Macaca mulatta: one gene and its partners. The protein of the gene in region 3 purifies or fractionates together with the protein of the main gene of each other region. This does not show direct contact. Links are inferred from orthologs where the notes say so. Each region holds a gene or a part of one and is shown on either strand. Other genes may lie near its edges. The genes, in order: PRPF6, PRPF8, RNPS1, SREK1, ACIN1, GPATCH8 and PPIG.

What was found.
Region 1: the proteins of RNPS1 (region 3) and PRPF6 purify together in Homo sapiens (co-immunoprecipitation; 3 studies listed by BioGRID and IntAct, with this or other methods). This does not show direct contact. The link is inferred for Macaca mulatta from reciprocal best matches to the Homo sapiens genes RNPS1 and PRPF6.
Region 2: the proteins of RNPS1 (region 3) and PRPF8 purify together in Homo sapiens (affinity purification with mass spectrometry; 3 studies listed by BioGRID and IntAct, with this or other methods). This does not show direct contact. The link is inferred for Macaca mulatta from reciprocal best matches to the Homo sapiens genes RNPS1 and PRPF8.
Region 4: the proteins of RNPS1 (region 3) and SREK1 purify together in Homo sapiens (affinity purification with mass spectrometry; 3 studies listed by BioGRID and IntAct, counting the BioPlex papers as one, with this or other methods). This does not show direct contact. The link is inferred for Macaca mulatta from reciprocal best matches to the Homo sapiens genes RNPS1 and SREK1.
Region 5: the proteins of RNPS1 (region 3) and ACIN1 purify together in Homo sapiens (affinity purification with mass spectrometry; 6 studies listed by BioGRID and IntAct, with this or other methods). This does not show direct contact. The link is inferred for Macaca mulatta from reciprocal best matches to the Homo sapiens genes RNPS1 and ACIN1.
Region 6: the proteins of RNPS1 (region 3) and GPATCH8 purify together in Homo sapiens (co-immunoprecipitation; 4 studies listed by BioGRID and IntAct, with this or other methods). This does not show direct contact. The link is inferred for Macaca mulatta from reciprocal best matches to the Homo sapiens genes RNPS1 and GPATCH8.
Region 7: the proteins of RNPS1 (region 3) and PPIG purify together in Homo sapiens (co-immunoprecipitation; 3 studies listed by BioGRID and IntAct, with this or other methods). This does not show direct contact. The link is inferred for Macaca mulatta from reciprocal best matches to the Homo sapiens genes RNPS1 and PPIG.

What each region holds. Positions count from the first base shown.
Region 1 is NC_133415.1:116,866,546-116,870,810, reverse strand, and holds the start of PRPF6 (pre-mRNA-processing factor 6), read right to left. Parts: upstream 2,997-4,265; 5' UTR 2,883-2,996; coding exon 2,812-2,882; intron 1,084-2,811; coding exon 915-1,083; intron 1-914. UniProt on the Homo sapiens protein: Involved in pre-mRNA splicing as component of the U4/U6-U5 tri-snRNP complex, one of the building blocks of the spliceosome.
Region 2 is NC_133421.1:3,240,322-3,244,671, forward strand, and holds the start of PRPF8 (pre-mRNA-processing-splicing factor 8), read right to left. Parts: upstream 2,970-4,350; 5' UTR 2,898-2,969; intron 2,699-2,897; 5' UTR 2,688-2,698; coding exon 2,588-2,687; intron 1,828-2,587; coding exon 1,659-1,827; intron 388-1,658; coding exon 223-387; intron 136-222; coding exon 1-135. UniProt on the Homo sapiens protein: Plays a role in pre-mRNA splicing as core component of precatalytic, catalytic and postcatalytic spliceosomal complexes, both of the predominant U2-type spliceosome and the minor U12-type spliceosome.
Region 3 is NC_133425.1:3,508,659-3,512,912, reverse strand, and holds the start of RNPS1 (RNA-binding protein with serine-rich domain 1), read left to right. Parts: upstream 1-1,344; 5' UTR 1,345-1,374; intron 1,375-2,702; exon of another isoform or gene 2,703-2,796; intron 2,797-4,254. UniProt on the Homo sapiens protein: Part of pre- and post-splicing multiprotein mRNP complexes. Auxiliary component of the splicing-dependent multiprotein exon junction complex (EJC) deposited at splice junction on mRNAs.
Region 4 is NC_133411.1:74,276,546-74,280,241, reverse strand, and holds part of SREK1 (splicing regulatory glutamine/lysine-rich protein 1), read right to left. Parts: intron 3,024-3,696; coding exon 2,859-3,023; intron 2,719-2,858; coding exon 2,540-2,718; intron 1,347-2,539; coding exon 1,216-1,346; intron 357-1,215; coding exon 242-356; intron 1-241. UniProt on the Homo sapiens protein: Participates in the regulation of alternative splicing by modulating the activity of other splice facors. Inhibits the splicing activity of SFRS1, SFRS2 and SFRS6. Augments the splicing activity of SFRS3.
Region 5 is NC_133412.1:96,155,203-96,158,898, forward strand, and holds part of ACIN1 (apoptotic chromatin condensation inducer in the nucleus), read right to left. Parts: intron 2,282-3,696; coding exon of another isoform or gene 2,279-2,281; coding exon 2,148-2,278; intron 2,051-2,147; coding exon 1,898-2,050; intron 1,382-1,897; coding exon 1,240-1,381; intron 1,180-1,239; exon of another isoform or gene 976-1,179; coding exon 830-975; exon of another isoform or gene 421-829; coding exon 313-420; exon of another isoform or gene 173-312; coding exon 65-172; exon of another isoform or gene 56-64; intron 1-55.
Region 6 is NC_133421.1:68,877,454-68,881,768, forward strand, and holds the start of GPATCH8 (G patch domain-containing protein 8), read right to left. Parts: upstream 2,857-4,315; 5' UTR 2,831-2,856; coding exon 2,786-2,830; intron 1-2,785.
Region 7 is NC_133417.1:74,548,340-74,551,527, forward strand, and holds the end of PPIG (peptidyl-prolyl cis-trans isomerase G), read left to right. Parts: intron 1-1,002; coding exon 1,003-1,139; intron 1,140-1,322; coding exon 1,323-2,433; 3' UTR 2,434-2,635; downstream 2,636-3,188. UniProt on the Homo sapiens protein: PPIase that catalyzes the cis-trans isomerization of proline imidic peptide bonds in oligopeptides and may therefore assist protein folding. May be implicated in the folding, transport, and assembly of proteins.

The DNA of each region.
Region 1 (4,265 bases), on a different chromosome or scaffold from region 3:
CAAACACTGTCACCAATTCCACTTTAAGTTTTTATCATTAAAGACTGGCAGCCAGGCGCGGTGGCTCAGACCTGTAATCCCAACACTATGGGAGGCCGAGGTGGGCAGATCACCTGAAGTCAGGAGTTCGAGACCAGCCTGACCAACATGGAGAAACCCTGTATCTACTAAAAATACAAAATTAGCCGGCCATGGTGGCACATGCCTGTAATCCCAGCTACTCAGGAGGCTGAGGCAAGAGAAATCGCTTGAACCCGGGAGGCGGAGGTCACGATGAGCTGAGATCGCACAACTGCACTCCAGGCCGGGCGCGGTGGCTCAAGTCTGTAATCCCAGCACTTTGGGAGGCCGAGATGGGCGGATCACGAGGTCAGGAGATCGAGACCATCCTGGCTAACACGTTGAAACCCCGTCTCTACTCAAAAAAATACAAAAAACTAGCCGGGCGATGTGGCGGGCGCCTGTAGTACCAGCTACTCGGGAGGCTGAGGCAGGAGAATGGCGTAAACCCGGGAGACGGAGCTTGCAGTGAGCTGAGATCCGGCCACTGCACTCCAGCCTGGGCGACAGAGCCAGACTCGGTCTCAAAAAAAAAATAAATAAATAAAAACAACTGCACTCCAGCCTGGCCAACAAGAGCAAAACTCCGTCTCAAAAAAAAAAAGACTGGCCAACACGAAATGCCAAGGCAGCGGTCCCAACATCTGCAAGAACACCTCCTCTGACAAGAGTGAAACTTCGTCTCATATTTTTCCTCCTCCCTCTCACTCTCTGTAAAGATGTCCCATGAATAGCTGAAATTTTAAATGCATGAGCCACTCCAAGCCATTCATTACAGACACCAACACACAATGGTGAGGTCAGCTGCTCCCAGAGACTGGCTGGAGGAGCCACGAAAGCTGGACACATCTCACCTCGTCGTAATTGGTGTCATTTAGATCCTCATCGTCATCGTCAGCAGCCTGGTTTTTCTTCATCTGGTCCCCAACAGTTCTCTTGCCTGGGGGCGCGTGGCGATCATCCACGGGATCATTTGCATCACGGGCGGGCCCGATGTCTGACCGTGTGGTGAAGCCAGTGGCGCTGCGGGAGACCCCCAGGACACCCGGTATCTGAACAACTCTGTTCCTGTGCTCTTCTCCACCCCTGGTCATCACTTACTAACACCTCTTTTTCTAACACCTCTGGGAAACCTCCAAAGATCCTGGTGACAATGATCTGCAGTCTCAAACGCTACCGATCTTCTCTGCTTACCTGAAGGTTTTAGCCTATCCTGACGATGTTACCAAGGCAATCTCTCTCCACCCTAAGGTTTCCATCATCTCCCCCTCCACATCCAACTAGGCCCTTAAACCCAAGTTGGCCCAAACTGAGGTCCTCTTCTGTACCCACCTTATAGCTGCTCTGGGGTGTTTCAGCTGATAACAGCACTGCTGTCCCAGATGACATAATCTTTGCCTCCCTCTCCCACTTTCCCCATCCTGTCTGTCCCCAAGTACTAATGAATCCACCTTCAAAATCCCTCCTTCCCAGACTATGACTCGCATCACAGCTGGAAACCAAGGTAGCTCTCCCTGCCTTTAGCCTTCTTCTACTTCAACCCATGCTCTGCCAGATGATTCTTTCCAAAACACAGCTCTGACTAAAAAATTCTGGGCCGGGCGCAGGGGCTCATGCCTGTAATTCCAACACTTTGGGAGACTGAGGCAGGTGGATCATGAGGTCAGGAGTTCAAGACCCCCCTGGCCAACATGGTGAAACCCTGTCTCTACTGAAAATATAAAAATTAGCCAGGTGTGGTGGTGGGCACCTATAATCCCAGCTACTCAGGAGGCTGAGGCAGAAAACTGCTTGAACCGGGGAGGCAGAGGTTGCAGTGAGCTGAGATCACGCCATCGCACTCCATACAGAGCAAGACTCCGTCTCAAAAAATAATAATAATTCTGAAGGGTCATGGTCTTTCTAATACATCCAGGAGCTGCAGCCTGACGCTCAAAGCCTCTCCAACTTCCTGAGCTCTTTTCTATTGGTTGCACATTCCACTCACACTGGACTCCCTCCTGTTCTCTGGGCTTCCTCCTTACCTCACTTTTTTCCGAACTCCTGCACACAGAATGTCAGTTTCTCTTTTATCGCTACCACGTTTCTGCAGCCCTAAGTCCAGCTCTCCTACTAAACTTGACTCCAATGCTACTCTCCATTAAGCATTGGGTTCTAAATCTGGTCTTCTTTACGTGCTTATTTATGCTAATACCAAACCCTCCTTAGTGAGCTTCTGGTCCTCTGATGATGCTGTCACTATCGGAGCTTTGTGTGTGCCCCACAGATTCTAATATAATACCACCACCAAGAAAAACCCAGTAGTTTTCCTCATCAAATGAATAGCCAAATAGGGTAACAACGACTGCTCACTTATCCAGCAACGTATGGTGGTCATCTGTGTTGCAGGCAAGGAGGACCCAGGCACGCTTAAGGCGGGGCGGGGCGGGGGGTGTGTCAGCCTGACCTGGGGAAGGTGGTCGCGTGTTTCCACTACACATCAGATTCCTCTACACCTCACTGCAGACTGCATACATCATTCCCCATCTTACAGACCAAAACACTGGGCTGAGAGCCAACATGTCCCATCTAGGCGGCAGGCAGGGTGCACACACTTATGTCCTGACCCCAAAGCCCGTTGCTTCCTGCAGGGATTAAGCCGATCCACCAAGCGTCTTTTAGACAGCGCGGCCACAGACCCCCGCCCCCAAACACGCGCACTGCGCTCCGCTAGCCGGGTCCCCGCCCCTGGCGCGCCGCTCCAGGCCTCACCCCCGGCCCAGCCCCGGCACGTAGCCGAGCGGAGCGGGCATCCCCAGGAACGGCTTCTTCTTCTTGTTCATGGCGGCGGCGACGACCAAGGCTAGGAAGCAACGGAATGAGGCAGCGGAAGAGGGGAAGCAGCAGAGACTCCAGGCTTCGACGTCCGAGGCGCTCCGCAGGAAGGTGTCGCGAACGTCGCGTCACCCGCGCCCCGGAAGCAGAGCCCTCAGTCCGCACACGCCCCGCCCACTTTTTTACTCCCCGGGCGGAAGCCCCGACGTGCCGGTTCGACGACTTCCGGCCGCGGCTAAGGGGAGGGGACGTGGCAGGCGCGTGCGCGGGAGCGCCTCCTCGTGGCGAGGCGGGGAGAGCCAGGCCGAGCCTGCACTGGGACCCTAACAGGCCCCGGGGGGCCAAAAATAGCCTGAGGCATCGCTCCTTCCCGAGTGCTCTCATGCATTCCCGAGGAGACCTGTCTGTGCCAATAGGACCCGTGGTCCCCTCCCTCTGAACCAGCCCAGCTGCCCGCCCTCGCCCCGGGTGGGCCCTGATCACTTCCAAGCAGAGCTGTACCCTGTCCAGTTGTGCAGAGCTTGTGTGTACTGGTTATGGGCACACCTGTCCGTGTGCGTCCTGGGCGCACACTGCTGCCCTAAGCTTTCAGCACTCATATTCTTTTTTGTTGTTGTTGTTGTTGTTGTTGAGACGGTGTCTCGCTCTGTTGCCCAGGCTGGAGTGCAGTGGCGCAATCTCGGCTCACTGCAAGCTCCGCCTCCCGGGTTCACGCCATTCTCCAGCCTCAGCCTCCGGAGTAGCTGGGACTACAGGCGCCCGTCACCACACCCGGGTAATTTTTTGTGTTTTTAGTAGAGACGGGGTTTCACCATTCACAGGATGGTCTCGATCTCCTGACCTCGTGATCCGCCTGCCTCGACCTCCCAAAGTGCTGGGATTACAGGCCTGAGCCACCGCGCCTGGCCTAGCACTCATATTCTTGAACCTCCATTCATGCATCTGTCCCTCCAGTGGGACTAGAGACCCCACCCACGCCCACCAACATGCCTTGGACATTCTGGTGAGAGCCACATCCTCAGCTCCTGGAGAGCTAATTGAAATAAACAACCGTAGTTGACCTGTAGGGAACACGTCAGCACATGAACACGGCTGTCAAGCATGTGAGTGAATTCTATGTGTGCGATTAGTGGTGTATGATTAGTGTGTGTGATTAGTGGGGTGTGTGATTAGTGTGTGTATGATTAGTGTGTGTGATTAGTGTGTGTGACTAGTGTGTGCGATTAGTGTGTGTATGATTAGTGTGTGCGATTAGTGTGTGTGATTAGTGTGTATGATTAGTGTGTGTGATTAGTGGTGTATGATTAGTGTGTGTGATTAGTGTGTGTGATTAGTGTGTGTGATTAGTGGTGTATGATTAGTGTGTGTGATTAGTGTGTATGATTAGTGTG
Region 2 (4,350 bases), on a different chromosome or scaffold from region 3:
GCCTCCAGTGGCTCAACATCTAGGATGTTGTCAGCATAGTCCAAGGGCGGCTCCTCATCATCAAAAGGGGGAAAACGCATCCTCTTGAAATGCCTCCTATCTCTTTTTTCTCGGCGCATCATAATCCACATTGACCTAGAAGGCAAGAACATCACACAACCATTTCTACCCACTGCCCCCAACCACCACCACCACTGCCCACCATATTTCAGCCTTTCTCACCCCCACTGGGAGATGTAGACAGGTTCAATAACCCAGGGAATCTCATTGACGAAGGAAATGGCTCCAGTGATGTGGTACAGCACAGGCACATCCCGAATCTGCTCCCAAGGCATAGGCATGTTCTCCAGGAGTTTGAGGACTGCGTGGGGCATGTACTTTAGGGCACTGGCACATTAGAAAAAGAGAAGGCTATTAGAAATGACGAGGTGTTCTGCTACCTGTCCCATGCAGAGAAGCCACACGTTCATGTTCCACAGTAAATCCTACCTTACAATCCAAACTCCCAGACTTAGCCCATAGGCCCTTCCTAACCAGAAACCCTGCCTCTCCCTCTACAACTTCATCTTGCAGCACTCTTCTTTTTTTTTTTTTTTTTTTGAGACGGAGTCTCGCTCTGTCGCCCAAGCTGGAGTGCAGTGGCCGGATCTCAGCTCACTGCAAGCTCCGCCGCCCGAGTTTACACCATTCTCCTGCCTCAGCCTCCCGAGTAGCTGGGACTACAGGCGCCTGCCACCTCGCCCGGCTAGTTTTTTTTTTTTGTATTTTTTAGTAGAGACGGGGTTTCACCGTGTTAGCCAGGATGGTCTTGATCTCCTGACCTCGTGATCCGCCCGTCTCGGCCTCCCAAAGTGCTGGGATTACAGGCTTGAGCCACCGCGCCCAGCCTCAGCACTCTTCTTAAATGTCATAGTCCCACAATGCTGGTATCAGCTCCTCTAAATCAACAGCTGTCCCTCTGGAGACAGCTTTGCGGCTGTCTCACATCCTATTCCCTCAGTATCTTCTCATAAATCATAATAAAGTATTCACCATACTTCACTATCACCAGTTGTCTCATGTCTGTCATGCCACTAGACTGCACACTGCAGAAAGGCGGAGATTGTTACCCTCTGCTCGCTACTATACCCCAAGCAGCCAGCACAGTTCTCAAACTATTTTTTGAAATAAACAAAACTTCCAGTTCATTACACGGCAAACGTTTTTGTGTCCAAATAGAGCAGGAATCTGCTAAGACATCTGTACCTGTACCCACCCAGTTTACAGCCACAGAAAAACAGCAGTAGGGATACCTCTGAAATTAAATACCCTAAACACAGAATTCAGGTCCCTGAGGAGTGACAGGCTGCCACTATGCACAGTCTCCCACTCTGGGCTTCAAACAGCTCAACGACAGGGATATCTTATAACAGCATCAACAGGACAAATTAAAGTCCCAGGCCCAGATCAGGAACAGAAGGGAAACAGACTGCGTAAGTGGAAGATGTAGAAATTATCAGAGACTCCTACTGGTTTTCTCCTTTCTCTTATATCCACCAAGATGAGCTGTCAAAGCAGCGTCCTGTTCCAAAATGACAGAGCATCTATCCAAGACTGTGGGACAGGGAAAAGGGAAAAGAACCAAATTCCAAATGAAGTTATTTCAGGATGTTCCTTACCCCAAGTAAACCCTTTTGTCATGGCGGAACTTTCTGTTGGTCATGTCTCCATGGTCTCGAATGATCTTCCTGACATGTTCCGGGGGCATGTCTTCCTTCTGGGCATCCACAAACCCAAACTTCCGCTTTTCTGCATAGCGCTTCGCCTGCAATTGCTGCCATTTTCGGGCTACAAAGGCACCTCAGTTTAAAGGACTGCACACCCTCAGCCTAATCCTCTTCACCTCTTGCCCTAGGGTAAGCTCCTGTCAGTGAGTGTGACAGAGGAGCAGGCATCCAGCAGGAAGCAACACTCCTTGCCAATTCCCTTACCACTTTACTATGTTTTTCCCTTCATCACATTTATTACTATCTGACTTTTTTTTTTTTTTTTTTGAGACGTTGTTTTGCTCTGTTACCCAGGTTGGAGGGCAATGGAGCGATCTCGGCTCACTACAACCTCCGCCTCCCGGGTTCAAGCCATTCTCCTGCCTCAGCCTCCCCAGTAGCTGGGATTATAGACACGCGCCACCACACACGACTAATTTTTGTATTTTTAGTAGAGATGGGGTTTCACAATGTTGGCCAGGCTGGTCTCGAACTCCTGACCTCAGGTGATCCGCCCGCCTGGGTCTCCCAAAGTGCTGGGATCACAGGTGTGAGCCACTGCGCCCGGCCTGACATTTTTATTACAGATCCTCAAGGTTTTGTTACTGTCTTTCTCTCCCGCTGTAATTTAAACCCCGTAAGGACAGGAATTTTGTCTCCATCACTACTGGATCAGCGCTTGCAGATAACACGCGCTTAAAATGACTTGATAAAAAGTTAAATGGGGCTAACAAGGGAGTTGTCACCTCGGGAGCTGCCCAAACGGGGAGGGTCCCCAGCCACCTGCGCGCGCGAACACCCGCCCCGCCTCCGGCTCGCGCGCCGCTCCACACTCGACTCACCTTTCTCCTGCAGCTTCTCCTCCGACATGTAGTCCGGTAGCGGGGCTAGAGGGCCGGGCACCGGGTTACCCGGCCCTCGGTAAGGAAATACTCCGGCCATACCCGGAGAATCTGGACAGCGGCGGGACAGAAAAATTCACTAACCACAGGCCCGGGCCCACAAGAAGCGCAGCAGAAAGGCGTCCGGGGACCCGGGCCTGCAATCCCGCCACACTGAGTGCATCCAGCCCCGCCCGGCCTAACCCCTTCGGTCACTCAGCCCGACCCGACCACGCCTCCCGCAGCCCGGCCTTAAACGCCTGCCACGCACCCCACAACCCCTCACACAGGGGGCCGCTTTCTCCGGAGCGCAATGGCGGCCAGTGTGCGTCCGCTCCGCGTTCCCAGCGCCGGAAAGTGCGCAACCCGACTTCAGCAGTTGATCCAATCGGCGCCGAGGTGCTCAGATGGATTGGTAAGATGGCCAATTAGAGTGGCACACTGCGCCGAGGAGGCGGGCCCACAGGCGGAAAGGCTTTGAATACAAGGGGGTGTGGTCGGGGAAGCCCCGCCTCCCACGTTTCCGAGGCTGTTCCTGAGGCCCCCGACAGACCTCAGTGTGTGATAGGCTCCCGGCGTCGCCCTGCGAGAGACCGAAGTCTGGAAGCTTTTAATAAATTTGCCAAGATTGCGCATTGTACGATGTCTGTTGTCATCAATGTATACGTGCAATGCAGTACTAGCTCCAGGACGGTCATTTGTTCATGCATTCATTCTTTTTTTTTTTTTTTTTTTTTTTTTTTTTTTTTTGAGACGGAGTCTCACTCTGTCGCCCAGGCTGGAGTGCAGTGGCCGGATCTCAGCTCACTGCAAGCTCCGCCTCCCGGGTTCACGCCATTCTCCTGCCTCAGCCTCCCAAGTAGCTGGGACTACAGGCGCCCGCCGCCTCGCCCGGCTAGTTTTTTGTATTTTTTAGTAGAGACGGGGTTTCACCGTGTTAGCCAGGATGGTCTCGATCTCCTGACCTCGTGATCCGCCCGTCTCGGCCTCCCAAAGTGCTGGGATTACAGGCTTGAGCCACCGCGCCCGGCCGCATTCATTCATTTAACCATTCTTTATTGAGTGCCCACTGTCTACCGAGGACGAGGGATAAAGCAGGAAAAAAGACAACCAGTAGGGTTCACAGGGGAGCAGAAAGAATCAAGCTCATTGGGGGGGGGGGGGGGCGGTAGCTCACGCCTGGAATCGCAGCCTTTTGGGAGGTTGAGGCGGGCGGATCGCTTAAGGCCAGGAGTCCAAGGCCAGCCTGGCCAACATGGTGAAACCGCGTCTCTACTAAAAGTACAAAAATTAGCTGGGCGTGGTGGCATGCACCTGTAGTTCCAGCTACTCGGGAGGCTGAGACAGGAGAATCGCTTGAACCCGGGAGGCGGAGGTTGCAGTGAGCCGAGATCGCGCCACTGAACTCCAGCCTGGGTTACAGAGCGAGACTCCGTCTCGGAAAAAACAAACAAACAAAAAGTCTGAAATTCCCACCAAGTTTATTGGGGAGGATGCAGAGGAATTGTAACCCATACAGCCCCTCAATCTAGTTGAGAATTTACAAATCAAAGTGAAATAATTAGAAAAAAAAATGCAAAGGATGTCAATGTGCTTTCAGAACGGTAAAAATTTTAAAACAATTCCTTTTGTTTTCTTTTTTAGACAGGGTCTCACTCTGTTGCCCAGACTGGAGTGCAATGGTGCGATCTCAGTTCACCACAACCTCCACCTCCCAGGCTCAA
Region 3 (4,254 bases):
AGGGGCTGTGGCCTCTAGGTCGGGCCTGGGGCTAGGAAGAGGGACAGAAGTCAGTGCATGAGGCCACCCAGCTCCATGTCCATGCCCACAGTCCTTCTGCAGGGCATCCTCAGACTTGTTTTCAAGCCTATGTGTTAGAGATTTAGGAATGTGTCATTTTTCTCCTGTGACACCCTAAAAAGGGGTTGGGGAGAGTGTATAGGACTGAGGGCATAGCCCGCATGAGGCACACACTTGTGAAGCCAGCGTGCATAGACAGGACACGCACAGAAGACACCATCCCCCCTGGCAGCACACTACCAGTGCCAGTAGGGGTCTTTAAGTAAGGACTGGCACAACTAGAACTCCTTAGGAAAAGGATCCGCAGCTCGGGAGGCTGCTGCGTGGGGACCAGGAGGGGCAGGTGCATTCAGGGCGTCTGTGGCAGGGGCCCAAGGCTGCACCCAAGCCTGGAGCTTGGATGACCCCAGGAGCAGCAGGAAGGGCCCATCTGGCATCCCAGGGGCACCCTCAAGGCCTCTGGAAACTCAGTGCTGGGGCTAGGTCACCAGTGACACCCTAAGGAGCCTGGGACTGAAGCCTCAGGACTCCGCCCCGCCTGATTTTTGTCTGAGCTGTGGCCGTTCCCAGCCCACGGGAGGGCAGGGGAAAAGAGCTATGGGCCCAGGGATGGGAGCTACCGGCCCATCCACGCTCCACCCTAGACCATGGGGTGGGGGGGGGCATGCATTCTCTATGGACACTGTCCCCGAACAACTGTGGCATCTGACAGAGCCGACTCCTGCCCTCCTCCCAATTCACCTTAGACCTGGGAGACGAGGTTCTGACTTCACTGCCCTGCGTAGCCTGGCACAGGGCTCCCATGAGCAGATGGCCCATGGGCCACGAGCCAGGTATCTGCACCTTCTGTCCTCCAGGCTGGCCCAGTCCAACAGGCTGGCTCAACTGACACCACACCCACAACTCAGAGAGGGGAAGACCTTGCAGTGTGGCGGGCCCAGGCCAAGCCCCTCCACTGCCATCACAGGTTTACAGCGAAGCAGGGGAGCAGGCTGGATACAGGCAGCCCAGGCCACAGGTCCGGGGACCCACACCAGGCCACAGGAATGGGCTTGCTGAGGGTATCAGAAAACCCCAGGTCACAGTGGTTTGAAAAAGAAGTTTATTTCTCAGCCGTGTAGGCAGGAGGAGGCAGTCCAGGGCTCTGTCACCTGAAGTCTCAGGGAGGCAGGCTCCATCTGCTGCCCCATCATCCTGGTTCACGCCTCCCTCCTCATGGTCACCTCTGTGTTCAAGGAAGTGCTTGGCCGGGCGTGGTAGCTCACGCCTATGTAATCCCAGCACTTTAGGAGGCTGAGGAAGGCAGATCATGAAGTCAAAAGATCGAGACCATCTTGGCTAGCATGGTGAAACTCCGTCTGTACTAAAAATACAAAAAAATTAGCCAGGCGTGGTGGCAGGCGCCTGTAGTCCCAGCTACTGGGGAGGCTGAGGCAGGAGAATGGCGTGAACCCGGAAGGCAGAACTTGCAGTGATTGGAGATTGCGCCACTGCACTGCACTCCAACCTGGGCGACAGGGTGAGACTCCGTCTCGGGGGGGGGGGGGGTGGGGGGGGAAGAAGGAAGTGCTCAAGTTCAGGGTGGGGTAGGGTGTGTGCAGTGGCCTCCGTCCAGTGTCTGTCACCTCCAGGCAGCTCCCTGCTGCGCCTGGACCCACCTGTGCCCTTGGCTCACTCCATCTTGCTGAGTTTCCCATCTCTGTCTTGCTGGCTGCTTTCAGAGACCAGGCCCAGAGTCCTCAAGACTCAGGTGACCTTGGCTACCCCTGGAATCCTGGACTAAAGATCTGCAATAAAAATGTGTCCAGCAGGGAACCATCCTGTTTGCTTTGCTTTTCTGAGTTCCTACAACAAACCAGCCAGGGTGCACTGTGGGGCATATGGACACAGGCCCTGGAGTATGGCTACTTCTGCCTGGGGGCGTCTGGGAGGCTTCCTGAGTGAGGTGGGGTCTCACCAGCTCCAGGGGACACCACTGCCGCGCACAAGGTAAGGGTGGGGGTGGAGGATCACCTCCGTGAGGACCCAGACCCCACCCACTGTGGCTGCGGTGGAGACTGCAGGTCTGTCTCAAGGCCCCAGGCCTGACACCTGCAAGAACAGAACCTAGGAGTGACAGAGGGGATTCCACCAGGCCAGCCCGGGGCTTGAACCCCAGCCAGGGCAGCTGCTGTCCACTGCCCCACCAGGTAACGCACCGACCCAGCTGCTGTTCAGCTCCCCTCCGGGCCAGCACCATGCTCATGGCATAGGCCGGCTGGGCCCTCTGAGACCCCCACTCCCACACAGACTGGTCTGCATGGAGGCTGGTGCCTGGCTGCACTAATGGCCAGAGCCCCCTGCAGACAGGCAGCTCAAGGGGAGCTCCAGAATGCAGGAAATGGCCCAGCACGGGAGTCACTTAGGCTGCCCACCCCTCAGGGAACTGAGATGTCCCTCCTTCCAGATGCCCCCCGAACCCGAACATGCTGGGCGTGCTCTGGTCACCCCACACAGGGGGCTCAGGGTGGGAGAGCTGGAGGCTGCCTGTAAGGGGCAAGGCCTCCTCCAGGAGGTAGGATGGGGTGGGGCAGGCGGGATCCCCTCCTCACCTGATGGGCCCTCGAGGCCAGGCTGCAGGCAGGCAGGAGGGGGCTGAAGCAGTGGGGTCAGGCCCGGGGAGCGGGGGCCCTGCCTTCCTTCCTCAACACACGGGGCTGCCCAGGCCCCGCTCCTGGGGCCGGGCCCACACCCCACAGACACTGGTGTCAGATGCTTCGGCTTGAAGGAGCTCCACATGGACCAGCTGCAGCTGCCCCTGGGTCCGCCTGGCCCAGGCAATACCACAGCATCACCAAGGCTCATCTAGCCATGGGCTCAGCCCCCAGGTCCTGAGAGGCACCCCAGGTGCCTCAGTCACAGTCCCAGGCAGCTCAGGTCCCAGGCGGCTCACGGTCACTATCCTTGACTTCATTGTAGCAGAAATGGAGTGCTTTGAGCTTGTGATGAGCACAGGCTCCCGATCCTGGGAGAGTCCAGACGTGCCCACTGGAGGGGCCCCAGGCCCTGATGATACCCACTCCTCAGACATGCAAACCCGGAGCCAGGGAGGCCTCAATGAACCGTATACTCTCCCAACAGACCAAGCTCACCCCACACCAGCACAAGGCCCTTTCAGACCCAGCCTGGCCACCCCAATGGACCTGGCCAGCACCTCCCCCAGTCCCACCCTCTCCAGACAGGTGCCAGGCTATGGTGACCTGCCTCTCAGCAGGCACGGCTCCTCCTCTGATGCCTCCCCCGAGGTCGAGTCATTACTCCCTCGTCCACCTGACTGGGCTGCACACGGCCTCAGTGCAGAGCCAGGTTTTAGTGGGTAAAAGGGCTCCCTTGCTGTGCTTTACCAGAGAATACAACACCCTCCCCAAAGCTCCTTCATGACCCACTGTGACCTGCAGCACCACCAAGCCCATCACCAACCCTGTGTCCCAGGCCACGAGCCTCTAAGCGCAGGCACTGCAGAAGCCACCAGGCAACAGAGGATGGAGGCAGGGAGGACATTCTGCCTTCATGAGGGCATGCCCTCAAAGACAGAGTCGCCCCAAACAGTCAGCAGGTGACCCTCAGCTCTGGGAAGGCAAGGGGAGGAGCTCAGGGCCATGGCCAGAGCCCACGAGAAGCCTGTGCCCAGCACTGCAGTGCTCTGGCCACTGCATAATGCCGTGTCCGCAAAGCCCTGCCTGCCCCCTGCAGCAAACCAGGGCCCCTGAGGCTCCAGAAGCCCCAGCTCCACTACCCTCAGCCTCCATGGCCTTAGCAGCCTGGCTCTGGGGCTGAGCTCCTGGAAGGACAGGGTGGGGGTAGGCTCCTGACTTTTATTTTCTCACGTTTCTTTCAGACATGCTTCTGCTGATCCTCAAAATGGCAAAAGCCAGGATGCTCAATTCTCAAAGCTCAACAGCTGATGGCACATTTGATGACAAAAATCAGTAATATTTAGAAACAATTTTGATTAAATTCATAAGTGCCTGAATAAATCATACTCGTCGATTTAATATAAAATGTGTGAAAGCTTATTCGCAGGCCAAATGAAATTACTGCAGAGCATTAAAAATCAGCAGGGGGAGGGCTGTCAGCCCAGCTGGTGCTGCGTCACCCCCACCCATGTCACGTGGGGTCACCAGGCTGCCCCTCCCCACCAGGTGTCAGTGGGGC
Region 4 (3,696 bases), on a different chromosome or scaffold from region 3:
GACACAAAACTAATTTCTAAAAATAAAAATAAGTTCAAATATTTAAAAATTAAATATCATTAGGCAAAATTTCATTCTCAACTACAGAATTACAATTAGAACAGTATTTAATGGTGATCACACTTCAGGTGTACACTACTAAAATTTCTAAATTCTGATATTTTGACAAAAACTCATAAACTCTTAATATTTTAAATACAAAACTAAAATAAAATTTAAATATGACAGCAGAAATTCTCACCTGTGCTTTGATTGTGATCTTTTCCTTCTAGAATGCGATTTTGAGCTAGACCTGGATTTTGAGCGAGTATGGGAACGAGATCGACCGCCTTTTCTTTCATTGCTCTTTCCAGACTCTGGGAGGAAAAAACCACTTTGCAGTGTAAGCTCAGAACAATTAAAGATCCCAGTTAATAATCAGGCACAAGTGGAATGTACCACATATAGTGCAAGGGGCCTACTCTCTGTACATCCTCCTCCTTCAGAAACATCCAAGAAAGTCATTGCATAAACTCGTTGAGTGCAGCCACCCTGCAGCAGTACATATAAACCAGATGATTATAAACAGCTGTTCGTAATATTATGTTGCTGCCGTAACGTACGATTATAACATGTCTGTAATTCCTGTGACAGTGATTTTAAGTCCTTTCTCCACTTATTCTGCTAGAATTGAAGCTTAAATTCCGAGTGGTGATTTAGAAAATCTGCTCAAATGTAAACCACCTAGATGTTTTTAGAATGGGTTTTTAAATTATTTTCATTAGCAACACAAAAGTTTGAATAGGCGTTCCTTTACCTTGCTAAAATACAGTATCTGTATTTTTTTCTAAATCACGGGCTCTCTTTTCTATTTTCAGAATTAAAATGTTGAGGAAAAGTAAACCTGCCGAATCATAATATCTTAAATATATTTACTCTTTTTAGCCTTGCAATAACATTTTTGCTTTCAGCAAATCATTTTTGAGCACTGATTTTGCTATGAAAATTCAGGGCTGATTAGCTCAGACTAAAGTGCCTCAATTCAGTATCACGGAAAAGAATAAAATATGTGCTAAGTTTTTCTTTGACATGAGTACGCTACTTACTATTTCTTGAGTTTCAGTCTTCTTGTTTGTAAAACGAAGAGACTGAACAAGATGATTTCTAAAATTCCTTCCAGTTCTAAGATTCTATGATCTTTAAACTATGACCTATGTAACAACGTTATGGACTTACCTGGTTCAATAGCTGCTGAGATAAATGACTGAGCTTCTCGTACTCGCTTCATTACTTCTTCTAACTCCTTAGCTGCAGCCTGAGGTGTCATCTCAGGGGGTTTTACTATTGCATTGTTGGAGTGATTTATTCTAAATTAAAAATATTAGCATATCACAAATACACACATTTTATAAAACAAACATTTATATGATACACATATTTATAAATTTGAGGACATCTCAGAAGCACATGAGAATGATATAAATACAGAATACCCAAAAGCAACCTCAAAACCACGATTAATCTCTCATCCCCACTTCCTATCATTCCTTGCTAATACAACCAAAAACGGCAGAAAAAGAAAATTGGACCCTAGCTAACTTAATTCAAACAGACAAGATTAAGTGCTTTTCCACAGCTTAGAATTAAAATAAATTAAAATGCTGATACCAATATGAAAATGAATTATTTGTATTTTCAGATCAAAAGATCTTATTGATATCCTGTACACTCTAGAAGAAGGGAAAGCTATCTGTATATTATCATATTATGTACATCATTGTAACCAACCCTGAACCATGGCTGAGTCAGACATAGCTTTGAATGTGCAAGGCACATTCTTCCTCTACGAGATAAGAATGCCTTCTCTGATGCACATGAATGGATGTCATGTGTCTTGCTTTACCCCTTCCACACTGAGAAGACAAGTACCCACCAACAACAATTAGTTATCCTTTAACAGAAAAATCCTGATCAAATTGTGTAACTAAAGCAATCTATGAAATTCAAGCAAAACTATATTTGCCTCAATAATCTGCATGAAATAGAGTATCCGGTCTGGAGTTCATCTCGAAGGCTATATCAACGTTTTACAAACAAGGATGTAAGCAAACCTTAAAAGTCAAAATGTCTGGTTTAAAACACTTGTGGGCACTTATAATTTCCTTCCGGAGATTTTGAATTTACCACAGTTATTACTGGAAGTACTATAGTTCAACCTACATGTTAAGTTGCTCAATTAGTCTAGAGTCATAATGTAAAACTAACCTGACTTATTAAAGTCTATGAAAAAGACCTACAACTGTTGTGCAAGGTATATAAATAATGTTAACATTGAATTAGAACCTAGAAAACAGAAAATGAGAAAATAAATGTCTCTAAATAAAGGAATTTAAAGACTAAAATGGTAAGTATCTCATGTATTCATTTATACTTAACACAAAGTCTTCCTTTCCACAAATTGCCAATTACTATTAAAAAGAAAAAAAAAAGCCTTAATTACATCAAAAATACTTTAAATTTTTTCAAAATCATTAAAATTTCTTTGTTTAGGATTTCTTACTTCAGTGGCCTGTCTCCAAACATAACTCCATTAAAAGCAAGGGCCCTTGGTACAGAATTTTGGTCTGCAAATTCCACAAAAGCAAACCGAGTTGGCTGAGTCTCATCACCTGCCATCCGTACAAACTTCACTTCTCCAACTTGTTTAAAAAATTCAAGTAGCTGATCAGCTGTCGTTGTCTAAGGAAACAAAGTGACACTTTGATAAAATACATCCATTTAAAAAATCAGGTAAATATTACTGTATCCACTGATACGATTTTTAAGAAGAGAAAAAGAATAAGGGCTACTGCTGCTTTGTTTCTTCCTAAATTAGTTACCTGGGAATTCAAATTTCCAACATAAACCGTTCTCCTAATTTCATCTATTTTGGAAGGATCCACGTTTCCCATAAGTGGTGGCTGTGGTATCTCTCCAAGTGTTGCAATGTTGGGGTCTAGTGCTGCTGCTGGTATAGCTCCCAAACTGCTAAGTGAAACACCAAGCTATCGAAAGAAGAAAAAAAACACACAGAACACATATTTTCTATTAGTATCCAAAGCTACCATTCTCTAATCTTGAAAAGAATGAACTCAACAAGAATGAAAGGAGACTAGGGACTCCAAACTTTAACTCATATATATGTCTGACTTATTAAAATAAGGTCACATTAGTTTTAAATGTAATTCAAAATGTATTTTACTGTCTGGATATTTTAGCCACTTTTAAACTTGACCCTAAAAAATAGGCTGTTTCTCATTACTTGAGGTAGCTATGTTCTATAGTTTCCACAAACAATGAATTATTGAATACTGAACCATTATTCCCAGGGAAAATACAGGGTGAAGTTCCTATGAGCCTCTGGTCACATTTACATTAACTAATAAAATATTTAACCTTATTTTATATGTGCTTCTGTTTAAAGACACCTTATCTGTTATATACTGTCGATTCATTAACACTGAACTCACAGCCAGCAGCACCACAACTCAGGCCTGAATGAAGCTTATCTAATACATGTATTTAATATTTTCTCCATGAGGCACTTCACAATCTTCCTGTACTTAGGAACACTAGACAGCAGTTTGGCACTACACTTGTGGGCCCATCTTAACAGTGAAATCACCAACAAAAAGCACAATTCGAAGAACATAGCACTAAACAGACTACGTGCCTGTT
Region 5 (3,696 bases), on a different chromosome or scaffold from region 3:
CTGAAATCTAGCAGCTAATGGCTTCCCCTGCCCCTCCCCTCCTTCCTCTCCCTAGGTTTCTTACCTCATCTTGCTCGGCATAGTCAGCACAAAGGAATTTGGGATTGGACTGGGGCCATTTGACCCCATGCAGAGCTGTGCGGGTGGCAACAGCTTCCTCTACTGTTGAGTACTGGTGGAGGAAGGGAGAAGATGGAGGGTCACAGTGTGTCTGCAACCCTTCCCACTTGCTGCAACACCCTTAAACCTGCCCACACTGGTCACAAAAGGAAATATATGCCATGACCTATAGAATCAGCTTCTTCCCCTCACCGTTACAAAGCAATGAGATTTGATCTTGTCAATCCAGAAGGCCTCTTCCACCAAGGTTCCTGTGCGCCCCAACAACTCCTTTAGCTGGCCTAAAGTGAAAGGACGGACCTGCCAATGAAAATAAGACTTTCAGGGTCTTGAAGAAGGCAAGACCACCACCCATACAGCCAATCTTTAGATTTCCCAAGCTGCTGTCACAGGACTATAGTTTCAAGGTTTGGGTGAGGGCAGAGAGTTTAGGAACCTTGCAGTAAGAATGTGAGAAGAGTGGTGGTGCTTCCCAGCACTGAGACATTGTATATGAGGCCCTCTGCAAGTCCTCAAAACAACCCTGCAGGGCGACAGCTTTTCCCCTTCATTTTTAGATGGGTAAATAGGTTAAGTAACTCACTCAAGATCAGTGAGTAACTTAATCTATTGGTAGACCAGTTCAACTATGAGTGGAACCTAAGAAGTGTAAGCCTAAAGCTCAAACTTAACCACTAAGCCAGCTGGGATGTGAGAAACAATGACTTACCAAATTGGAGATATGGACAATGTTGCTAATCTTGCCCCGGGGTGGGGAGGGCACCTGGGCAGTTCGGACTGGGTCATCAATTGTAATGGAAACTCCGGACTTTTGCTGGCTAATGGAACGTCGAGTTAAGGTATCTCCTAAAGTCACTATGAAGAAGACCACAAGAACAGCTTTTGGTAGGAATCAATACTGGCTTGTTTCACTTTCAACATAACTATCACGGTTCCCCTTCTTTTATACCAAGCAGCCACTCCTTCATCTAAACGTGTAGAGCACCTATAATCTGCAAAGTACTGTGCTAGGCTAACCTCATCATGGAGATTCAAAGATTAAACAGAGTCAAATCTGGCCCTCAAGTAGCTTACTTCATATGTAGGAGAAAGATATGATATACGAAAAGCGTCACTCACCTTTCTTTACTTCATGCTCTGCAGGTGGGGGCAAGGCCACCTCTACTGACACCTGGGGAGGTACAGGAGGTTCTGCTTCAGGTTCCTTCTCTTCTTCCTCTTCTTCTCTTTGCCCATTCTCCTGGCCCTCTGCAGGTACTACCTATCAAGAGAACACAGCAGGTCTGTTAAACACCAAACTGGCATATTCTTTTCAGCCTCTGGTTCCCTGGTGAGAGCAACAGTCAACTTAGCATGTTCCTTCCGCTAGGGGTATTTCATTATCCAGCTCACCTCTACTAGATCCTGGGATTGTTAGTACCTCAACTTTGCCTTGAGGAAAACTAAGGCAGGAGTTGGTAAATTTTTTCTGTAGAGCAAAGCAGTACTTCAGGTTTTGCAGGCCACATAGTCTGTTGCAACTACTCAACTCCGGTGATGTTGCAGTGAACAAACAGCCACAGACAAAAGTGAATGGTGTGGTTGTGTTCCAATAAAACTTTATTTATAACAGGTAGCCAGCTGGATTTGGTAGTCTGACCCCTGAAAGTGTCAATCAACCCAACCCTCTGCACAGACAGGAAAGTTCCCTCCAAAGACTTTATCTCAGCTCCTCAGCTGGCTGCTCTGCATCTACTGCTCCCACCTTCCTCCCGACACTGGGGTGCAGAAGCCTTACCTGAGTGACTGTCCGGCATATTTTCAGCCCCTTGTCATGGGTCCCATCATCGCCATTACGCTCTGTCTCATCCTCAGAGATGCGAGAGTCATCAGCATGAAGATCCACAACAGCCTCCTGCCCCGCCAGGGGTTTGATGTCGGGGATGAGGCTCTGGGACACAGATACCCCCCACCCCGTTACACTGGGCCCATGTCTACTCCCACCTTAACAGGTCTCATCCTCCCTTCCCTGGCTCCTCCCACCTCACCTTGAGTGATTCAGTGGTGATACTGATGGAAGGTTTCTTCTGTGTGGTGGCTGTGCTGGCTCCCCAACGTCGTTTCCGACCAGGCTGGCCCCCCTCTGTGTCACTGTTTCCAGCTGGCACCCCCTTGGTAGCTGCTGTCCCCAAGAAATAGACCCAACAGTTAGATGGTCTCAGGACCTCTGCTAGTTCAAACCATAATACCTACAGGTTACCCCTGGCTGGAGTTTTGGAGGTTAAAGAAATCAGTGTGTGGGTGTGGTGACTCACGCATGTAATCCCAACACTTTGGGAGGCTGAGGCGGGTGGATCATGAGGTCAGGAGACCAGCCTGACCAACATGGTGAAACCCCATCTCTACTAAAAATACAAAAATTAGCCGGGCGTTGTGGTGCACGCCTGTAATCTCAGCTACTCAGGGCGCTGAGGCAGGAGAATTGCTTGAACCTGGGAGGTGGAGGTTGCAGTGAGCCGAGATTGTGCCACTGACTGCACTCCAGCCTGGCAACAGAGCAAGCCTCCGTCTTAAAGAAAATTAAAAAAGAAAAGAAAAGAAAAGAAAAGAAATCATATCTGGGAACTGGGAAACCATGGCTTCAGACTGAACACTAAAAGGGCTGAGGTCCCTTCCTGATAGAAACTACTGATCTAAAAGCAGTAAGGGAGGGGTAGCTAGTATGATGAGCTGTTTAAACTTTTAATAGTAGACAGTAGTATCTTAAGTAGTGTGGAAGAAAAACTGAGAAGGACATGTGAATGCAGAAGAAACAAGAACACTACGTGATACTAACATCTAAGCAAGAACTAAGATCATGATGGGATCTGGTCTTCCTTTAATTTTCACACCACAGATTGATATTTAAGTTATAAACATCTATTATACTTTTGTAATCTAGAGTTCCTCATTGGGGAAAATGTTAAAATTGTTACTGTTTGAGGTGTGGGGCACTTTCATTTCCTCGGGTGCGCTCTTAGAATAACCCATAAACAAGGTCAAGCGCGATGGCTCATGCCTGTAATCCCAACACTTTGGGAGACGAGGCAGGCAGATCACGAGGTCAGGAGTTCAAGACCAGCCTGGCCAACATGATGAAATCCCATCTCTATTAAAAATACAAAAATTAGTTGGGCATGGTGGCACGTGCCTCTAATCCCAGCTACTGAGGAGGCTGAGGAGAACTGCTTGAACTGGGACCTGGGAGGCGGAGGTTGCAGTGAGCCAAGATTGTACCACTGCACTCCAGCCTGGACTACTACAGAGGAAGACTCCGTCTCAAAAACAACAACAACAACAAAACCCAGAATAATTCATAAACTGCTAAGCATTACATAGGAGTCCTTGAAACTCATTCGTTGTTGAGTATTCACGTATCTGAAAGAATAAATGCCTCTAAGGCTAAATGGGACATGGTCTCAGACACCTCATAGTGTATCTCATTAAAATGTGACTAGAGAAATATGATGGAGATTGTCTCAAGCTTTGAATTTCAAAATGAAACCCTACATAGGAAAGGATTCAGATTTGCTAGGCACAAGGGGTGGGGCAGGAGGG
Region 6 (4,315 bases), on a different chromosome or scaffold from region 3:
CTCCCTGACTCCATAATAATTTCAAGAGACATCAAACTCTCTAAAATTTGCACTTGATAAACTGGTAGAGAGTGAAGCTCTACAGCTTTAAATCATCCTGCCAAATTAAAGGCAAAGAAAATAACAGTCATCTCGAACTTACCAGAGAAGATGAACAGAAAAATTTCCAGTGCTACAAGATCTGTTGAAAGCAACAAGATCTATCCATTGTGTTTGGAAACTTACTATGATTTGTTTTCAAGTATAGTCAGTGGCTTCACCCAAAACCTTTTAAGGAGGCCACGTTTAATTTTGAATAACCTGAAGCCGAAAATGTTTCAGATACATTATTCACAGGAGAATCCTATTACATTACATTCTCTCACCAATAACTTTGAATCAAAAGACATCATTAAGTGAAAGACAATCTGTATTTTTCCCTTTATTAAAACACACAGAAAAATACCACTTCATTTTTAAATAAAAGTACTTTAAATGAATGTTATAAATTAACATAATTTATAAAAGTTTTAACATCTTCCAACTGTCTAAAAAGGTTTCCATTCCCAATACCTTATTTACCCAAAATGCTAGGACATCTGAATTTTAAAAACCAACATTTTCGGCCGGGTGCGGTGGCTCACACCTGCAGTCCCAGCACTTTGGGAGGCCGAGGCAGGCGGATGACGAGGTCAGGAGTTCGAGACCAGCCTGGCCAAGACGGTGAAACCCCATCTCTACTAAAAATACAAAAATAAGCCGGGTGTGGTGACAGGCGCCTGTAGTCTCAGCTGCTCGGCAGTCTGAGTCAGAAGAATCGCTTGAACCCGGGAGGGGAAGGTTGCAGTAAGCCGAGATGGTGCCACTGCACTCCAGCCTGGGCGACAGAGTGAGATTCCGTCTCAAAAACAAACAAACAAAAAAAACCCCAACATCTTCCTGGCTGACCCAACTTAACGGGTTGGTTCTTTCAACATAGAAGCAGAAAATGAACTATACATATCATCTTCAAAGGACTACCATGAAACCAAAATCAGGTTTTGCAATACCCAACTAAAGCATCAAAAGAGAGGGTCATCTTACTTAGAAACTGAGTATTGAAAAAGTAGAGGCTAACCCCCTCAATTTTTTTCAGGAAACAGCATTCACACTCTGCTATCCACAATTTTCAAAATCTTCATTAAAGGCCCCGAAAATCCTGTTTGTTAAGCCTGCTGGAATTCTGTGGTTGACAGTCATCTTTCCTCAAAATTTAATTGTCCATATTATCTATTTTCGATTTTATTAGGTCACCTTGAGATTCTCTCCTCTGAAAAGCATTTGCGGGCTTTAGTTATCAATAGGTCTCTATTGGTAATTTAAAAATCAATAAAGCTCATCATACACCTTGCAGCCTACTCATATTTTATAGTGCTTGCTAAAATATACATATATTTCTCAGGGATCAAAAGGCTAATATGAACTGCTTCAAACTTTGGTGAATCTGCATTATATCCTTAGAACACCTTGAGATTCTTCTGTATTGTGCTGCAGCTATACAGCAAGCGCATGATCACAAGGCTTTAACAGCCCCCAGATCCCTTACTGCTGCAAAACTTCTCATAAGCGTTCTATGTACTACCTTGTTAACAGTGCTGAGTTAAAATTGTTAAACTGCTTTATCTATTTATTTACCAGTCCTATCATCTCAGGGAATTCAAACTCTTTAAACTGCATTCTGAAACACACCTAGAGTGCTTTCCTATTGCTTTGAGTAGGATCTGCAGCCGGATAAAAACTTGAGTTCTGAGATTCATCCCCTGACCCAAATTGCAGTTGCCAGGATATGCGGTAGTAATGCAGAGGTTTTTTTTGAGACTCTACGGATGTATTTTACCTAGAAATAGCCAATCTCTACTAAATCCCTTTTAGTCGTCGAGATTTCCGCGGTAACAATTTCAACAGCAAGGTATTTTCAACAACGAAAAAACGAGTTATTCTAATTTGGCCTTTATTTTTTACTCAATAGAGCTTGCCATCGTAAGGGCATTTTACCATACCAACATTTGCAATTGAAAAAAGAAAAATCAAGCTTTTGGCACTAGTGACCCCACGCGTGGAAGGTCCATTATCATTACGCTTCTTACAAATCTTTCGAGATAGGATTTGAGGTTAGGCTCACATCGGATCATAGTCCAGTAACTTACTGTTTTCCAAGCCCAATTAACAGCCTAATAACAGCAGCAACACTTATGTCCCGGGAAATCTTAATGTATGACTAACCAATAAGGCGTCTGATAACGAATGCAACCTTTTCCCAGGTAAGGAAAAGGAAAAACAGACAATGAAAGCAACTGATTCATCACAGTGAAAAAAGAAAAGAGAAGGACCCCAAAAGGATCCGTGAGAGCAAAATCCCGGGGTTCGGAAGCCTTGGCCTCAGCAACACTCGCCCCCAAGTCCTCCCAGCCCAACCCAACCACCCCTCTGGTCCCCTGGGAGCCAGCCCTTTGCCGGCACAGGCCGGGCAGACCCGGAGGGCACAGCCCCCCACAGAGCTCCCAGGCCCGGTTCCCAAATCCGACGCCAAACAGGCGGAAGCCGCAAGCCCCGCGGCCTGAGTTTCAGGGGTAGAGAATGCGCGTGAGAGGAGATGCGGCCTCCCTCAAGCCGGGAGGCCTCTTGAGAAAGCAGAGACGGGAGAAGAGAGAGCCAATTCGCAAGTCGGAGCAAAACCTGGAAGGAAAGAGGGCTGGGAGCCGGAGATGAAGGACATTCTGGGCTAGACCAGCGCCTTCCCCGCATCCTCGGCGACGCCCGTGTTTACCTGAAAGTCTCGGTCCTCGTTGAAGCGGGAGAAGCGGTCCGCCATTTTGCCGCCTTCACTCCTCTCAGGACGACGCTCTCCGGTTCGCTCCTTCCCTCCTGCGACACCCGCCCCTCCCCGGTTCCCCGCCTCCTCCCACGCCCACCGGGCGCGCGCAGCCGAGGGAGGGAGCGAGAATGCGCGTCCTGACTGGAGCCCCGCAGCGCAGGCGCCTGCCAGCCCTGGAGGCTGACCCTTCCCTCCAGCCCCTGCTCCGCGCGCGACCCGGAGCGACCCCGGTGGCCGCGCGTGCGCACTCCCGCCCAAGAGCCGCGAAAGCTTCCGGAGGGAAAGGTCAGAAGGGGCACCGTGCGGACGAGTCTGGATGTTTTGCTGTGGCTCACTTCCGGGTATCTTTTCTCACTGTCGCTTCCCCGTGTGCGCAGAAGTCCATCGTCTTTACTAAATTTTTGGAAGCATAATGTTGGGCCTAAAGCGCGACTTTAGAGCCATACTACTTTGTTTCGAATCTCAGCTCACCCTGAGGATTCAACGGTGAACGAGACAGGAATGGTCTCTTATGGGGATTTCATTCCAGTGGAAGAAGTCACATAACTCGTAGAATAAATATTTTTAAATATCAATAAGTGCCACAAAAAAGTAAAACTGGCCGCAGTGCTGAGAGGGACAGTCTCTGAAGGGACCTTTGACCCGAGGCACAGCGAGGAGCCCACAGCATTGGGGCATAGGGAACATTAGACCCAAAGGCCCAAAGACTGCAAGGAGCTTGATATCTAGCCATCCTTTGAGAAAAGTATTTCTCAAGGGACCGAAGTTGATCCAAATCGACTAAAGCTCTCTGGGCTTCAGTTTCCTTTTTATACAATAAGGAAGCTGGATTCAGTAATCTCTGCTGCTCCTGTCTAGCGCTGACTGTGAGTTAAGATTCAGATTTTTCCATCCCTTTTGAGGACCTCACCCAGCGCTCCAGCACTCTTAGCCAAAATACATAAACACATAGAAGGGTGGTAGGACTTCCTCCTTTTGAAAAGAGTAGTTGACAGAAATCACACAATGGAAAAATGGCTCTTACCTTGCCCTGAAAGAGTCAAATGGAATGTAATTTTTTGAGGAAGGATATGTATTTTCTAGTTGTTACCCTTTGCCTCACCCATGCTTCAGCCTACACTTCCACCTAAGGGGAGGCAGGGCACACAGAATTCAAACATTGTGGGGTTTTTTTTTTTTTTTTTGAGACGGAGTCTTGCACTATTGCCAGAGTACAGTGGCGCCATCTTGGCTCACTGCAACCTCCGCCTCCCAGATTCAAGAGATTCTCCTGCCTCAGCCTCCATAGTAGCTGGAATTACAGGCGCCCGCCACCAAGCCCAGCTTTTTGTTTGTTTGTTTGTTTGTTTTTTGAGACGGAGTCTCACTCTGTCACCCAGGCTGCAGTGCAGTGGCGTGATCTCAGCTCACTGCAAGCTCCGCCTCCCGGGTTCACGCCATTCTCCTGCCTCAGCCTCCCGAGTAGCTGGGACCACAGGCGCC
Region 7 (3,188 bases), on a different chromosome or scaffold from region 3:
GAAAAGGCAAATGTTGTGATATTATTATGAAAATAGTTTTGACCCCTGAGCCTTTAAATCCCAGATCCCACTTTGAGATTCACTGTCTAATCTTTTTTTAAATAGTAGCCAGAATTGTCATTTAAAAATGAAAGTCTGATTTTTGTGCTACTCCTTTACCATTGATCTTAGGATAAATCCAAAATTACTACGATGGCCTATGACACTTCACAAAACCTAGTCCTTGCTTACCTCATCAATGTTATCTAGTACTAGTTTCCCTTGTAATTTTTAGCTTTGGCCATATTTGGTCTGTCTTTTCTTCTTAACTCGGAAACTTCCTGTCTCAGCATCTTTTCCCTTTTCCTTTTATACACATTCTATTGTAGCTGCATATATGTTTAATATAACTAATTATATGTTCATTCACATGCTCTCCAAGTCCTGTAGACTATAAGTTCCAGGAAAGCACACTCATATATCTTGGCTCACTAATGTTCTCTCAGTATGTAGTAGAGTGTTTGGTCATCCTAAGGGTTGAATAAGTGAACATCTACACATATACTCTATTTTCTCCACAATATGAGAAATGGTTGCTTTGAAACATTAAGTATATATAACATTTAGATTGAACTTGGCAACTTATAAGTTGCTCTAGCATTACTTGGATAGGACTCTTCCATGGAGAAGACATGTATGGCTAGTGGCTAGAGTTTTTGTGATTAATGTTTCTTAACTTGGAATTTGCAACATGACAACTTAAGTTTCTCTGCCTCATTGATTTCCTACATGAAAATTGGGAAATTTTAGTAATTTTCAGGGCATAGAAATATCAGACGTTTTATTTTAACCTAGAAACATATGCTTTTTAGCTACTATTATAATGCTTTTTATGTATTTTTAAATTTTGTACCCCTTACTACCTCCTGACCCTCAAGCCCAGTACTTCCCTCTCTCCCAGCACTCATGTGAGTCCCTCTATACTTTTATACATTAATTTTTCCCCCTTTTAATTTTCTTTAGCGTTACCGAACTCCTTCCAGATCCAGATCAAGGGATCGTTTCAGACGTAGTGAGACTCCTCCACATTGGAGGCAAGAGATGCAGAGAGCTCAAAGAATGAGGGTATCAAGCGGTGAAAGATGGATCAAAGGGGATAAGTAAGATTTAACTATTATTTCAAATGTAATAAGTATTTGTTTTTACTATTATACATAAAGTTATTTTATTGTCATTTTAATTATTGCTGAATACCTTAAGAAGAGTAGAATATCATTTTAGCCAATAATATCTACAATTCTTTTTCTAATAACATTTCCCCAATCCTTTTTCTTATTTTTTAGGAGTGAGTTGAATGAAATAAAAGAAAATCAGAGAAGTCCAGTTAGAGTAAAAGAGAGAAAAATAACGGATCACAGGAATGTATCTGAGAGTCCAAACAGAAAAAATGAAAAGGAAAAGAAAGTTAAAGACCATAAATCTAACAGCAAAGAGAGAGACATCAGAAGAAATTCAGAAAAAGATGATAAATATAAAAACAAAGTGAAGAAAAGGGCCAAATCTAAAAGTAGGAGTAAGAGTAAAGAGAAATCAAAGAGTAAAGAAAGAGATTCAAAACATAATAGACATGAAGAAAAGAGGATGAGGTCACGGAGTAAAGGAAGGGATCATGAGAATGTTAAAGAAAAAGAAAAGCAGTCTGATTCTAAAGGAAAAGATCAGGAAAGGAGTAGAAGTAAAGAGAAGTCTAAACAGTTAGAATCAAAGAGTAATGAGCATGATCATAGTAAAAGTAAGGAAAAGGATAGACGTGCACAATCCAGGAGTAGAGAATGTGATATAACTAAAGGTAAACACAGTTATAATAGCAGAACAAGAGAACGAAGCAGAAGTAGGGACAGAAGCAGAAGAGTGCGATCAAGAACCCATGACAGAGATCGCAGCAGAAGCAAGGAGTACCATAGATACAGAGAACAGGAATACAGGAGAAGAGGACGGTCACGAAGCCGAGAGAGAAGAATGACACCAGGAAGATCAAGAAGTAAAGATAGGAGGAGAAGGAGGAGAGACTCACGGAGCTCAGAGAGAGAAGAAAGTCAAAGCAGAAACAAAGAAAAATACAGAAACCAAGAAAGTAAGAGCTCACACAGAAAAGAAAATTCTGAGAGTGAGAAAAGAATGTACTCTAAAAGTCATGATCATAATAGCTCAAATAATAGCAGGGAAAAAAAGGCTGATAGAGATCAAAGTCCCTTCTCAAAAATAAAACAAAACAGTCAGGACAATGAATTAAAGTCCTCTACATTGAAAAATAAGGAGGATGAGAAGATCAGATCCTCAGTGGAAAAAGAAAACCAAAAATCAAAGGGTCAAGAAAATGACCATGTACATGAAAAAAATAAAAAATTTGATCATGAATCAAGCCCTGGAACAGATGAAGACAAAAGTGGATGAGTGAGTGATATAAACTTCCATTCTGTTTCGAATTTTAAGTTTGAGAGACTTGCTAATGAATCTCCTTTATGTTGTTTTCCTTTTCATTGTTTTTGGGTTGTTTTATGTTTGTCCTTTTTTCTTAATGTGGATTTCATTGAGTTGATCTTTTGATAATCTGCAATGTGGATAATTTGTACTGCTAAAGTTTTAATAAACTTGAAATGAGAAAAACACTTTGGTGTAGTATTGTGTGCTGTGTTTAACTATTTTATGTATGCATTACTGTGTTGCAACAATTAGCCAATAGCATCCTAATTTGTTTAGTCAGCCATTTGGAATGGTTGCAATGCATTGTTACAAAAGCTTGTGTTTCTCATGATTAAAGTAACTTTAGAAGCCACTAGAAGACATCTTGTATAGATTTTCTGATTGCATTAATAATAGAGGTTTGCAGCGGTTTCTTTTAATTACACAGAAGCAGGGTCCTAATAACCTGAGATCTTAAGTCATAACTTTTGATTTTATAGTAATTTGTGCTTTAAATAGATGTTTAGTTATTTATATTGCACTTCATACTCTATTCTTTATAGTTTGAGCCATAGCTTGTTTCCTATTAATGCTTTTCCTGTCTAGTTGTGTTTTACTTAACTGCCTATAAAAATCATAAGAGTAATTTTTTTCCGTTGATGTACTGATTGAGCTTGAGTTGCTGTTATACAGCATTTGACAGGAACTATACCTTGGAAAATCAGATTGTGATTCTCAATTCTGTG